4 linked regions of the Oryzias latipes genome follow. The protein of the gene in region 3 purifies or fractionates together with the protein of the main gene of each other region. This does not show direct contact. Links are inferred from orthologs where the notes say so. Each region holds a gene or a part of one and is shown on either strand. Other genes may lie near its edges.

The links.
Region 1: the proteins of dhx38 (region 3) and nudcd1 purify together in Homo sapiens (co-immunoprecipitation; 3 studies listed by BioGRID and IntAct, with this or other methods). This does not show direct contact. The link is inferred for Oryzias latipes from reciprocal best matches to the Homo sapiens genes DHX38 and NUDCD1.
Region 2: the proteins of dhx38 (region 3) and ppp4r3a purify together in Homo sapiens (co-immunoprecipitation; 3 studies listed by BioGRID and IntAct, with this or other methods). This does not show direct contact. The link is inferred for Oryzias latipes from reciprocal best matches to the Homo sapiens genes DHX38 and PPP4R3A.
Region 4: the proteins of dhx38 (region 3) and ppp4c purify together in Homo sapiens (affinity purification with mass spectrometry; 5 studies listed by BioGRID and IntAct, with this or other methods). This does not show direct contact. The link is inferred for Oryzias latipes from reciprocal best matches to the Homo sapiens genes DHX38 and PPP4C.

Annotation. Positions count from the first base shown.
Region 1 is NC_019869.2:17,473,172-17,476,695, forward strand, and holds part of nudcd1 (nudC domain-containing protein 1), read left to right. Parts: intron 1-328; coding exon 329-454; intron 455-3,524.
Region 2 is NC_019882.2:7,224,429-7,227,952, forward strand, and holds part of ppp4r3a (serine/threonine-protein phosphatase 4 regulatory subunit 3A), read right to left. Parts: intron 397-3,524; coding exon 206-396; intron 1-205. UniProt on the Homo sapiens protein: Regulatory subunit of serine/threonine-protein phosphatase 4. May regulate the activity of PPP4C at centrosomal microtubule organizing centers.
Region 3 is NC_019861.2:20,540,829-20,544,352, reverse strand, and holds part of dhx38 (pre-mRNA-splicing factor ATP-dependent RNA helicase PRP16), read right to left. Parts: intron 3,486-3,524; coding exon 3,351-3,485; intron 2,936-3,350; coding exon 2,810-2,935; intron 2,734-2,809; coding exon 2,638-2,733; intron 1,603-2,637; coding exon 1,481-1,602; intron 1-1,480. UniProt on the Homo sapiens protein: Probable ATP-binding RNA helicase. Involved in pre-mRNA splicing as component of the spliceosome.
Region 4 is NC_019866.2:25,208,687-25,210,983, reverse strand, and holds the end of ppp4c (serine/threonine-protein phosphatase 4 catalytic subunit), read left to right. Parts: intron 1-1,117; coding exon 1,118-1,247; 3' UTR 1,248-1,797; downstream 1,798-2,297. UniProt on the Homo sapiens protein: Protein phosphatase that is involved in many processes such as microtubule organization at centrosomes, maturation of spliceosomal snRNPs, apoptosis, DNA repair, tumor necrosis factor (TNF)-alpha signaling, activation of c-Jun N-terminal kinase MAPK8, regulation of histone acetylation, DNA damage checkpoint signaling, NF-kappa-B activation and cell migration.

The DNA of each region.
Region 1 (3,524 bases), on a different chromosome or scaffold from region 3:
TGCTGCTCATTTAAAGTCTGTTTAATTAAATGTGTGCATTCTCTGCTAAAGGATAAAATCCACGTGTAAACTGACGGATGATGATCTCGTTAAGATCTAGAATGATTACCGTACAATTTTTGGCCCAATAATATTTTTGGTTTTCACTTTCCATTTATACAGTTAGAACATTTGGAGCCACATCTGCTTCCACCCTCACTCTTTTTTGGACTTATAAGGGCCCACTCGAAGGCTTTCATGAAAAATCCATCCTTTCACATGTTAATACATGCAAAATAAGTGTACCTGCGGCTTCTTTTATGTCACACTGGCTTTCCTTTGTGCCCAGAATGGAAACCCTGACAGGGACAAGCCCCCTTGTAACTCTCAGGAGCTGGAGGATTGTGACGGGTATCCAGAAGACAGCTTCACGCTCGCTCACTTCGATGAAATATCACTCAAACCTACTCAGGTGGTGAGTAACACGTCTCCCTGTTTTCTGGACACTTTTTTTATTTGTTTGCCAATCTTTTAAGGTGGTTCCCTTATTTTTTAGTCCCACTTCTTGTTTCTTTCATTCCTTTAACATGATGTGATTATCTTATGATAACATTTTTATGTTTGACCTCCTTCACACAAGCAAATGATAGATTTCATTGCTCATTTCATTGTAAGAATGTTGTTTTTCTACTCGAACAGATACCATTAATCAATGTTTACAGTAGCCTTTTAGCTGAGTATCTTCCTGTCACTTTGGTGTGATGCATATTAGGAATGGACTGTAGGAGCCGGTGCAATGGTCATGAAGAGGTAATAAAGTCACTACTGCTCTGCAAACTTTCAAGAACCGGTGAAGGATAGTTCAACTTAGCCATCTGCAGATAAATGTAATAATTTTTCATAAATAAACTAGAAATTAATGAGACCGTCTTGACAGTTTTATAGTTGGTCTGATTTAATGAGACAGTATGGCTATGAAAGTATTTATCAGACACAATGAAGCTAATTAGAGCTCATAGTATTATAGAGAATACTACCTGGAGAATATTTCTATTGAATGAAAATGACCCACTTTATGCTGATGATGTTGTGATGTCCTTCTACTCTAAAACGATGAACACACTGGGCATGTGAGTGCATTCAAAAACACACTGAATGTGATTTTGAACATGCCTTTTAGCATATGTCGCTACCCAATACCTGCGCATGTACCCATAGTTGGACAGGGCGTGGTGCGAAATGTCAGAGTGGTGCAAATCTCCAGGTTTTTGATTTTACAGCTCTGTTCTGAAAGACTTGATTTAATAAAATTCCGGCCAGGCACAAACCACGATTTCTCCTTCATGATCAATTTTCAAATGGTTGACACTTTTGTTTACTAAAAAGGATGCAACCCATACGTCAATGCCAAATCCGAATCCCAGTTTAACTGGTGTAACTTTCAGTGCACTTTCATTTGCCATGTGATTTCTACAAAGAGCCCGCAAACAGACTTGTGTGAGTTTTGCATGTGGAAGCCCGAAACAAGCATATGCTGAGATAGATTTTTCTTGGACGGTGTGACATTTTATTGTGACCACACAGAGAGCTGTAAAATCAGAGTCTCGTTTACTGAAACCAACTTGCTAAGAAAGAAGCTCTAACGCTTCCACCAAATGAAGCTTCATAGACGTTTTAAAGAAGTGAGTGACAGAAAATGTCAAAGGTAAGATTTGTTTGGATGTTTTATGCACGTTGAGGCAGCAATAACACCTTTCGCGTCAAAATTCTCTCAAGTGGTAAAAGAGAAACAAAAAAAAAGAGACAGAGCTTTATTCTGAATGCAAAATCACAGCCAAGTTCAAGGTAAACACTCTTTTCAGTCTGAAACTAGTTTTGAGGACATTTTTCTTTTAGAAAAAAATAACAATTTGACATCTAAAGAAGGAAATATTATTTTTTAAGATGGATTTTTGCTTGAGTTAAGAAATAGTTATAGAGCTCAGAATAACAAAGGTCTTCCTTAATTATCATGAATTAGAGCCTTTTCCCAGTGGAACTAATGGAATACAGCCTAAATATTTTAGTACATGCTCATATGGTTTGGCAATTTTCAAATATTTTACCTAACATGTTACACAGTTTAGTTTAATATTTCTTGAACAGAAATAGAATAGAATAGAATAGAATTGAATAGAATATAATTAAGAATGGGCGATGTACAAGTGCCAGTAACTTATTGGACAATATTTGCATAATTTGAGTTTATCTGTATCGGTCTGATATTAAAAACTTTACTGATATTCCTCTGACTGTTTTCAGAAAAACTTTATTTTTTAAATATATATTTGTTTCTAATAGCTTATGTTCACAGTCATAATCAGTTATTGACCGTTTACAGGTAAACGTCATTTTTGATAGTGATGCATGTTGTGCCCAATAGAACCCTGGCAATTCAAATTCAAATTCAACTTTATTTATATAGCGCTTTTCATGCTTCATAGCATCTCAAAATGCTTCCCAAAGAAAGAATAAAACAAATATGATAAAAAAAAATATATAATAGTTAAAATAATAAACAAAGTAAAAAAGAATGTAATAATAATACAAATAAATGCAAATAATAATAAAATAAATGAATTAATAAAAACACACAAAAAACCCAACACATACACATCCCTCCTTTAAAATAAAAACAAATAAAATTAGCTGTTAAATTTTTATAAAATCAAATAAAAACATGTGGACAAGTAAAAACTATGTAAAAGCTTTACTAAAAAGATGTGTCTTAAGTTTTTGCTTAAAAACCTCCACAGTGGCTGAAGCCCTCACGTCCTCAGGCAGGCTGTTCCACAGGCGAGGTCCACAGTGCTGAAATGAGGCCTCGCCGTGCGTTTTAGTTCTGACCTTTGGGACCACTAGCAGACCTGCACCTGTGGACCTGAGGGCTCTGGGAGGGTCATAGACTAAAAGTAAATCTGATAAAAATGAGGGTCCAGTTCCATGTAAACTTTTATAAACTAATAAAAGAACCTTAAAATCGATCTTAAAGCTGACAGGGAGCCAGTGCAAAGACTTCAAAATTGGAGTAATGTGCTCCTTCTTTCTGGTTCTGGTTAAAAGGCGTGCAGCTGAGTTTTGAACAAGCTGCAGCCGGTTTACAGTATTTCTCTTAGCACCAGAAAGAAGAGCATTACAATAGTCTATCCTAGAAGTTATAAAAGCATGGATTAATATTTCAGCACTGGCTTGTGAGAGAAAGGGTCTCACTCGGGCAATATTTCTAAGATGATAAAATGCAGTCTTTGTAACTTGGTTTGCGTGTGCTTCAAAGTTAAGATCTGCATCTAAAATCATACAGAGGTTTTTTACTTTATTGCACACATTCAGATTAAAAGTTGATAAATAGGATTGGACCCTTTCTCTCTCAGCTTCAGGACCAACAATTAAAATGTCAGTTTTGTCTTGATTGAGCTTTAAGAAGTTCTCTCCCGTCCATGTTTCAATATCTAAAACACAATTTAAAAGGTCATCAATGGGTCCCATGTCATCAGGAGACACAGCCA
Region 2 (3,524 bases), on a different chromosome or scaffold from region 3:
TGCATCAAACATGTCTCTAATCGTGGACATTTATAGTAATAAAATGGACATTGGTAAAAGTCCTGTTATTTTTTTTAACTCTAACAGCTTCAGGAAACAGGAGCAAAAGAAATTTTTAAAAACCAATTTGCAAAATTCTGCAAAAGTCACTGATTTTCTTAACTGCATCTTCACCCTTCTAATGCTGAAATGTTTATATACTAACATTTCTTTCTCTCCATGAACTTGCTTATTGGTTCCATGAGGTCTTCCTCGCTTTTCATCTTGTCAGAAGGTGGAACCACTGCCTCGCCGTCCTCTAGGTCATCCTCATCTGTGTTGAACCACATCTCCTCTTCATCCTCTAGTGTTCGTGCATCACGCCGAAAGCGATGGTTGCGCAGGATAGAACGCATGCTGCAGAGGACGACAACGAGGAAACCACTTTTAGTCTTCACAAAAATATCAACTTTTGCTACAATGAAATGTATAAAGAGATTAGGACGTCTATAAATCCACAAATGTTTGGTGATTTTAGTGATGTTATAGATAAGGCATGCAAGTGTTGAAATCATGATGAAGAGCTTGGAAACCTGAGATGCTTCTTTCGATAATAACAAAAATAAATCATAGACTACAGTTTAATTTTACACTTATTTACATAATTATATATGTAAAATCATATTTTTAAAAGGACTATTCTTAACCCTTGTGCTATCCTAGGCACTTTAACATTTGGAGTTGGGTCATCTAGATCGGTGTTTTTCTACCTTTCTTGAGCCACGGCACACTTTAACCTTGACAAAAATCCCACAGCACACCACCGTCCAAAAAAAAAAAAAAAAAAAGAAAGAAACTCATAGTCTGTATTGATCTACAGCCCCTCTGCAATCTCACATGCATTTTTGTGATAATTGTGGCAGAAAAAGCTGGAAGCTGCAGCTGTTTTTCTAGAAGATGTAATAAAAGTTAAGTTAGAAGATTTAAAAACTTTTTGATGTCTGTTTGCTGTGGTTTCAAGACGTTTAACAAGGACGACTCATTGTGCGCTGAGCCGCTGTCACTTTAACCCAATGCATCATGGGAGATGTAGTGAAAACAGCCGCTGAACGAAAAAAGACTCGCGTCTCTGAGCTTCATTGTTTTGTTCACTTGTTCCACGGTCTGATACCGGATTCTGTGGAAAGCTACATCGCTAAAGACGAGCTTTAGCTGGTACTTTTGTTGGAATTGAGAGACTTACGAGCAGATCAGAACAAGGAAGTGAAGACTTTAACCACTTCTGATGGGTCAGACTGATGACGTATGATTAAGCCTCCAAGAATGATTGGTGGAGACAGTTTCCGAAAACAGAGCTGAAGCTGCAGCTAAATCACGGTACCGTCATTCTTATCAAAATGTCTTTAATTTAATCAAATAAACACAAAGAAAAAAGTGTTTTATGATCTTTTATATTCCTAACTACTCAGTGTTTTATCAGGGCCTGTTTGGATGAACTAAGAGCTGATATCCTGGAGATTGTGAAATGTTTTTAGATCAGTTAATGAGGGCAATATCCCAAGGCACTGGTTGAAAAACATTGATCTAGACCAGGGGTCGGGAACCTATGGCTCGCGAGCCATATATGGCTCTTTTGATGGTCACATGTGGCTCGCAGACAAATCTTTAATTATACTTTTTTTTTTTTTCATTAGACCAGTCCTTCTCGGGCGCAATGCGATGCCAGAGGCGCGCAGTAGTAGCGGTGCTTGGAGAAAAAAATCTGTGCCAGCGCTATCAGTTACTATTATCTATTATTTCACAGAGTTTGTACCAGCCTGAAACCTGTGAATTGCCGTGCCTAAAACTGCGCGCTCCCGTCTCTGAGAAAGAGCGCGCAGATGCGAGGACGGGATGTGTGAGGGAGAAAGCAGAGGGTGGGGCTGAGGTGTTGTGGGGACAGGCAGCAGGTGAATCGCGCAGGGATTGTAAAAACCTAAAACCCGCTGCCCGTCACTCACTGCAGCGTGTAAGTGTGTGTTTGGCTCCGTATCTGCATGTGAGCAGTCTGTCTCACATCTACAGAACATTCATACCTACGATGACGTTTAAAGTCTCAACGCCTGCATGAAGCAGAAACTCACCACGTATCAACCAGACTAGACCATCAGCAAAACTACCACGAGAAATACTCATCATTTATTAGCAACAGCATAACAATGTTATTAAAAAGAATCCTCAGACTTATTGTACTTTAAAAATGTTGAAATTAAATCAAATGCACACATTCACTTGTATATTTAGTTTTAAACAAATTGTCGCGGACTGAGTTGGATGGCTGTTGGGCCGCGTTAAAAGTTCTGGAGTTCATGGAACGCATCGATCAAGCAGTGATCTGATTGGCCCTCAGTTCTGTCGCTCAGCCTGTTGTTTGGTAGTTTGGACCAATGGGGTTCAGCTGTGGGCCGATTAAGGGGAATGGGAGGGGCTGGAGCGGGAGCAGGGGAATATAAAGTTGGGAGAAGCTCTCTCGTCTCGGCGGGAGAGATTCAGGAGCTGCTGAATTAATTGTAGGGCGTTTGTTACGGTCTGCAGTAATCAGAATAAAGAACTTTAAAAGAGGTTAAGTCTCCGTGCCTCAGTGTGGGAAAAGGACACTACATAATGGTATGGCTCTTTCGAAATTACATTTCAAAATATGTGGCGTTTTTGGCTCTCTTGGCCAAAAAGGTTCCCGACCCCTGATCTAGACCCACTAGACAGTGCACTGAACCTTTTTTCTTCAATGATTTGTGATCTTCACTGGTGTCCATGGATTACATGAAATCTTTCCACCTTTATCCACTTTTGTCATGGTAGGTAGAACATGTCAATGTAAGGGTGGGGTCATCTAAGATAGCACAAGGGTTAAGTCTTTTATAGTAAACAATATCCATGTATATGAAATAAACTTTGGCACACAATAGAACACATTTTTAGAGAAAGTGTGTGTGTTCACCTGGGGCGATAGATCTACGTCACAATGTGAGGACCCACTCGTTTACGTGGATTGGGTGAATTGCGTAAACGGATCAAAATACCACTTTGGGGTTTCTTTTCGTGAGGAATGAATATTAGAATACAATTTAAAGCTTAAACAAAATACTTAGCATAATATAGCCCCTTTAAGTTCAAATCTTCCTAAAAGGGAGTTATTTACAAGAAAAACAAACAAATAACATTCTGCTAGTTTCAAAGTCACAGCAATCTAAATTATTTTAATACAATCTTCTCTTTCGGCTTTTCCCATCAGGGGTCGCCACAGCGAATCATCCTTTTCCATCTCACTATCATGAACATCTTCTACCCTAACATTAGCCAACTTCATGTCCTCTGTTAAGACATCCATATATCTCCTCTTTGGCCGTCCTCTTGCCCTCCTGCCAGGCAGCTCCATCTCCAACATCCTTCTACCAATATATCCACTATCCCTCCTCTGAACATGTCCAAACCATCTCAGTCTGGCTTCTCTGACTTTGTCGCTAACACAGGCAACATGAGCCGTCCCTCTGATGTACTCGTTCCTT
Region 3 (3,524 bases):
GTGGGCATGAAGCTGCAGGATGGGGGGGGGGGGGGGGGGGGGGGGGCAGTGAAAAGGTAGACTGATGTCTCTGTGAAGTGTTTGGACATGGAGCTGAAGCCTCTGACAGCACAATCTATCATCTTTAATTACATGACACTGACACTGCCCACACTTCTGCCTCCTGCTCACATACACACACCTGCAGCAATTACACCATCAGGCAATAACCCCCTCCTGTCACCGTGCTCCCCACCCACCCAACACCACCTATCTTTGTCTCCTTGTTCATTTCACATGTGCTGCACGTGGCTTCAGCACAAAGGCTTCATGTAGATTTCAAGGATAAACAAGGAGGTTTCCTTTCATAAAAAACAGTATTTCCCATTTTTGAAGATGGGAATCGGAAAATAGAGTTTTGTCTGAATCTCGTTAATTTTCCATGAATAAAACAGTACAGATTAGCACATACATCTAGTAAAAATGTGACATTGTTGCATTTAAATGGTGGAATCTCTGTAATAGCTCTTATTGGTTCTTACTTTTCAATTGATGGAAAGGTCAACATAGGCTAACATAGAGCTGCTAAAAGCTAAAGAAAATAATGTCGGAATTCCAAACTGCACATTGAAAATGTCAGAGGCATGTGGATGTTAATCTTTTTAATTCCTCTTAAGATGTAAAAAAAAAAAAAAAAGAATTAAGAAATATTTGGAGTAAATCCGTCTTTATTAAGTAAAACCTCCAAACAAAACAACTTAGCCTAAATAGAGTTAAAGTTCCAATGAGTCTGATTAAACCGGAAATCACTGGATGTCTATTAATTAAACCAAAGTGCACATTATGTTAATTGCCGGCAGTTTTTTGGAATCAAAGAAAAGAAAAAAGAAAAACTAAGTAAAAGTGTCATCCTAGAAGAACTGAGCGTATTATTAAAAGCCTTCAGAGAAGAGTCTGCCATAAGCCCAAGAGAGCCCCCAACTCCAATAACACACATTTAAGTTCTGTTGTTAGATCCCATAATCCTAAACTTCTAATATGATTATTTTCACACAAACCTCAAGACTGATAAATTAGCTGATTAATTAACAATAAAAAGTTGCTTTAAAATCACTCTTTAAAGTCTAATTTTTCACTACAAAACTCACAGATGGGTGTGAAATGATTTTTTTGGTCTAATTTAAAAATGAACGCTCCCCTCCTTTTGCTATTCTGCTATGGCACAATTTAAATTGCTGCAGTAATGGGGGTCAGCCAGGAGTCAATATTATTTCTTTTTGTCTCGTCTGGAAGGACCAGAGGTGAGAAAAGCTCATCATGAAAAGTGAGAAAGGTGGAGTGGAGAGAGTCGTGGAGTGGAGGAGGGGTGGAGATATGGGCTGACAGCTGGATAAGTAAATGAAACATTTCTAATGCCGTCTGTGTATGGAAAATGGGGAACCATTGTTGAATGAAGCCTGAATGATGAGCCACAGTGAATGAAGGTGCAACACCAACTTACCTGACAATGTTCATGTTGCTCTTCTTCTCCTGCTCCTCTCGACGCGTGCGGAGTTGCTCCTGTGCCATGGCCATTTCCTCCTCCATGTTGGTGATCTCATCTTTGGCACGACGGCGGTTCTCCTATGATAACAGGAAGCACAAAGGTTCAAAGATGGCACTAATGTGCTTTAGGTGACAAACTTATCTGAGTTACCAAAATAAAAGTAAGAGTTAGAAATCATAAAAGGCCTATATCAAGCAAAATCAACGTTTTAAGCTTTGAAGTGTGTTGTAGTGTTCATTCCTCACAAAAAATAACCTCAAAGTGGAATTTTGATCCATCTGAGCATTTTTCTAAAAACCTGTGTTCGGAGCAGCAACCACAAAAACGACTGGGCTCTCACATTGTGACGTAAATAAGTGAGAAACAGCCCCTTACAGGAAGCGTCTGTGCTGCCAGCACCACCCCCAGGCTAACACACACACACACACACACACTTTCTCCGCTGAGCTAACGATGATCTGTTAAACGGTTTTAATTTCTATACACAATAAGCACATCCATGTTTGCAAAAGTTTAGATGTTTGTTTCCGTGGGTAAAACACACACATGGTGCAGAGGATGACACTAGGTTGGTGTCATGAAGTGGGCGGCACCCACAAGGAGCGAAAGGCGGAGCCTCAGAGATCGAGTCGTCTTACATCTGGGTAGAAAAATTAGCTACGAGAATAACTTATTTCATAGAAAAGTTTGTTCTTTAGTGTCCCAAAGGTTAATATATTATCATATATATGGATGTAATTTACTCTGAAAGACAAGCATGAAATAGGCCCTTTAAATTATAGCTAATCCAAGTTCAACTTCTTGCTTTACTGGCAGCAACCGTTGTAAAATTGATTGAGCATCGGTTGCACAAAAACAGAGGCTGAATGGTGTGAAACACAAAACACAAACGCACAAGTTTCAAACCCTTTCCCTCACAAATATTCTCTATGGAATAATTCTTCCCATCTCTCTACTTTAGATACGGGGTACTACTCCTTCAAATAGAGAGCTCACAAAAACAGTAACTATGAACCATATAATCTCATTAATTTCTTTAAGAGGGCGCTGTCATCTCTTTAATTTGTAATGCATGAACCAGATTGCTCCAGCCTTCTTTAGTTTGAACTTACTTGTCTGCTTCTTCCTGCTTGCTTGACGCTGTAGAACATTGGTCCAAGCTCTGCTAGCCACTCTCCATCCACTGCAGTCACACACTGCATGTACTCCTAAAACCCAAATAAAAAGATTAATAACCTGTTCGTGCTTTAATTTCATAGAATATTTCCTTCCACCTTTACTTACCTTAGTGGTCATGACAAGTTCGTGGTAAATGATGTAGTCAGGAGTGTAGCCCATTCCGAACAGGGAGCTCGTAGGGTGCAGATGGCATGGCATTCCAGTCCTCACATTAACATACTCTCCAATACCCTGGGAACCAAAATACATTCATAAAAACAGGTTGAAGAAGCATTTGGTTGATGCAGTGTGTGCATTTTTTATGTGGATTAGTGCCTGCGTTTACTGTTTCACTATAAGATCACAGCAAAGCAGGATTTCAGGGTCAATTTTCTTCTGGAACTGGATTAGACAGCAGCAAAATAAATCTATACGATATCCAACATTACTATGATTGCTTGGGTTAGCTGGCTGCTCATAAGTCAAACCGAGAACCATTATTATAAAGTCATGATTTCAAATTCCCTTTCAGATTTTAGCACAGTATTAATGTGAGGCCAGAGGGGATATTTCACCACTTTGTAATTATGCTGCTATAAATCTGCAACAACCAGTCGCCACTGGGCCTAACATATTAACCGAGGAAAGCCCAGAGAGCAGAAAGTACCTTCAGCTTGGCTGCTTGGTGGAAGTACGCCGCACAGATGCACTTTCTAATAATATCCCAGTCTGAGCCGCAAGAAACTAGGTTCATCTTCTGCTGCACCATGATGTCCTTTAACTGGGAGCGCACCTCACGCACCTGCACGTTTATTAGAGGTCAGTGTAAGAAACATGATCC
Region 4 (2,297 bases), on a different chromosome or scaffold from region 3:
ATGGAGGACGCAGATGATGACAGATGGCGTTTCTTCATTTTGAAGAGCTCTACAACAGCATCAATGAGCAGCACACGCCTCCATGTGTGCCTCATGAAACCATTCACTCTCCCAGTGAGGAGCAGCAGCTGCCCCCAACTGTGGCAGGAGAAGCCGCCGCCCCTCTGGAACCAGTGGGAGGGGCTTGTAGCAGGGGATGGTGGAAGAATGGATAATAGTCAATTCCTCCTACATTCCCTGCTTTTCTTACTTTTAAAAAAAACTGTATATACATTTTTTTGCACGGTGATTTTGATCAAATCGATTAATTGATCTGAATTGATCCAATCTTAGTAGATCAATAATAGATCCATTAAAGTAGAAATCGATCTTTTATGCTCATTTTTTTCCGGGGATCTAATGTATAACATCAGTAAAGCCAAAGTCTGCTAGCTTGATGCTAACGTATAATGGAATTTCCCATAGGACGGCTAATGCTAACTCTTGGACGACCCAAACATACATTACTGACTCAATGAGCAGCTTTATAGACTCACAGGCAGGAATTTTCCAAACTCTTTTACAGAAACATTTTTGAAAGTAACCATTTGTGGTCTAAAGCTCCATTTTTTGCTCCAATCTTCTGGAATAAAGTGTAATGCTATAAGGAGAGCTCCACCTAGTGGCCAGACGGAAACGCCCTCCAGCAGAGACAGACCATAATGATCTGGTTGTTCAGTTAGAGCTTCTCTGTTGGAGAAAGCATGGAACGCCGTGTGCTGTTAACCATCTCACTGCTTTATTGTGTCAGCTCTCCTGCTGCACTTTAGCTCAGATTGACATCCTGAGGATTTTGTCTAAATAGGTTTATGTTGAGTTCAGAGAGTCATTAGTGTTTATAGAAAAGCCTCAATGAGCAAATGTTTTAATGTTATACATTCGTGTCTGTTTACATACATATTTTGAAATATTTATATACTTTTCATAAAACATGTTTTGTGGGCTTTTATCTTGTTTTCTGATCTGAAAAGTTCTGAGATCCGCTTTAAACCTTGTTTGTGCTGAAGACGGCGTCCTTCTCGCCTAGCGGTTTGAGGGTCTGTGCTGGTTTAACCTCGCCGTGTCTCCTTGCACTCAGGTGTGGAAACGTTGCGGCCATCTTGGAGCTGGATGAGCATCTACAGCGGGAGTTCATCATATTTGAAGCAGCGCCACAGGAGACCAGAGGCATCCCCTCCAAGAAGCCCGTCGCCGACTATTTCCTGTAGAGCTCCAGGCCAGCAGCCATAAGGCGCCGCCATTCTAGTTCCAGTTCTCCCCGGCGCCTCCGGCCTCCTGCTGCTCCCCGACAGCGGCGTCCGTCTGAACTCAAAGCAGTCCGGAGGCCTGCTGGCTCCTGTGGAGCGGCCTGGATGTGGCCTCCATCTGTCCTGCTCTGTAGACACAACTTCCAGCCCGACTCCGCCTCTCTGCTCCTCTTTTTTTTATTCAGACCATTTCTTTTAGTTTCAGTTGGAAAACCGTAACTTCTCTCTTTGTTCAAAGATACGCAGCTGTGCAAAGTTTTATGATTTTAATGAATTCCTTTAATGCATATTATGTTGTCTCTGTACAGTTATTGCTGCAAGATTCCAGTGACCCCCCCCCCCCCCCATATGTCACATGACTCGCTATCTACCATTCAGAACGCTGCTGTGAATAAACTCCTGAAGGACGACTCAGCAGGAAGCTCTTCTCACATCCGTTTCCACTCTTCCTTCCTTTTAACCCGTCTGTCGATTTTGATATTGTGAGAATAAAGTTTTGTACCAATGCTGACCCTTTGCTGATTGATTTACTCTCCTGAAGCTCCGCCCATGTCGCCTGAACGCTGACCCGCTCCGTCCTCCAGGGTCGTTCCCACACGACCTCCTGGAACCCCGTGGTGGGATGGAGGTTCTGTTCTTTCCATGGAGTCATTGCCATGTTTTTGCTTCTGAATAAGGTTCCGGATGGTTCCTCTGGGCCGCTGCACGGCTCGTTTTACCTGAAACCTCTGGTTTCACCCACCAGAACTTCTGGCATCTTTGGACCCGCTTCTGTTAAACCGCTGGGCCATTTTCACCATCGTTCATGTGGAATTCAGTTCCCAGGGTGTAATTTGATCATGCATTTTCTAAATCAATAAATTCAATGCAAAAAACAATCTTAGTTAAACAATAAAATGTTGCATTTTGGATTGTCACATGTTTTTGGTAACATACTTTAGATAAAAAGGCTTTTATATTGAATTTAGTTGAGCATTTTAAAAACGACTGAATATTCAATACAAAGAGGAA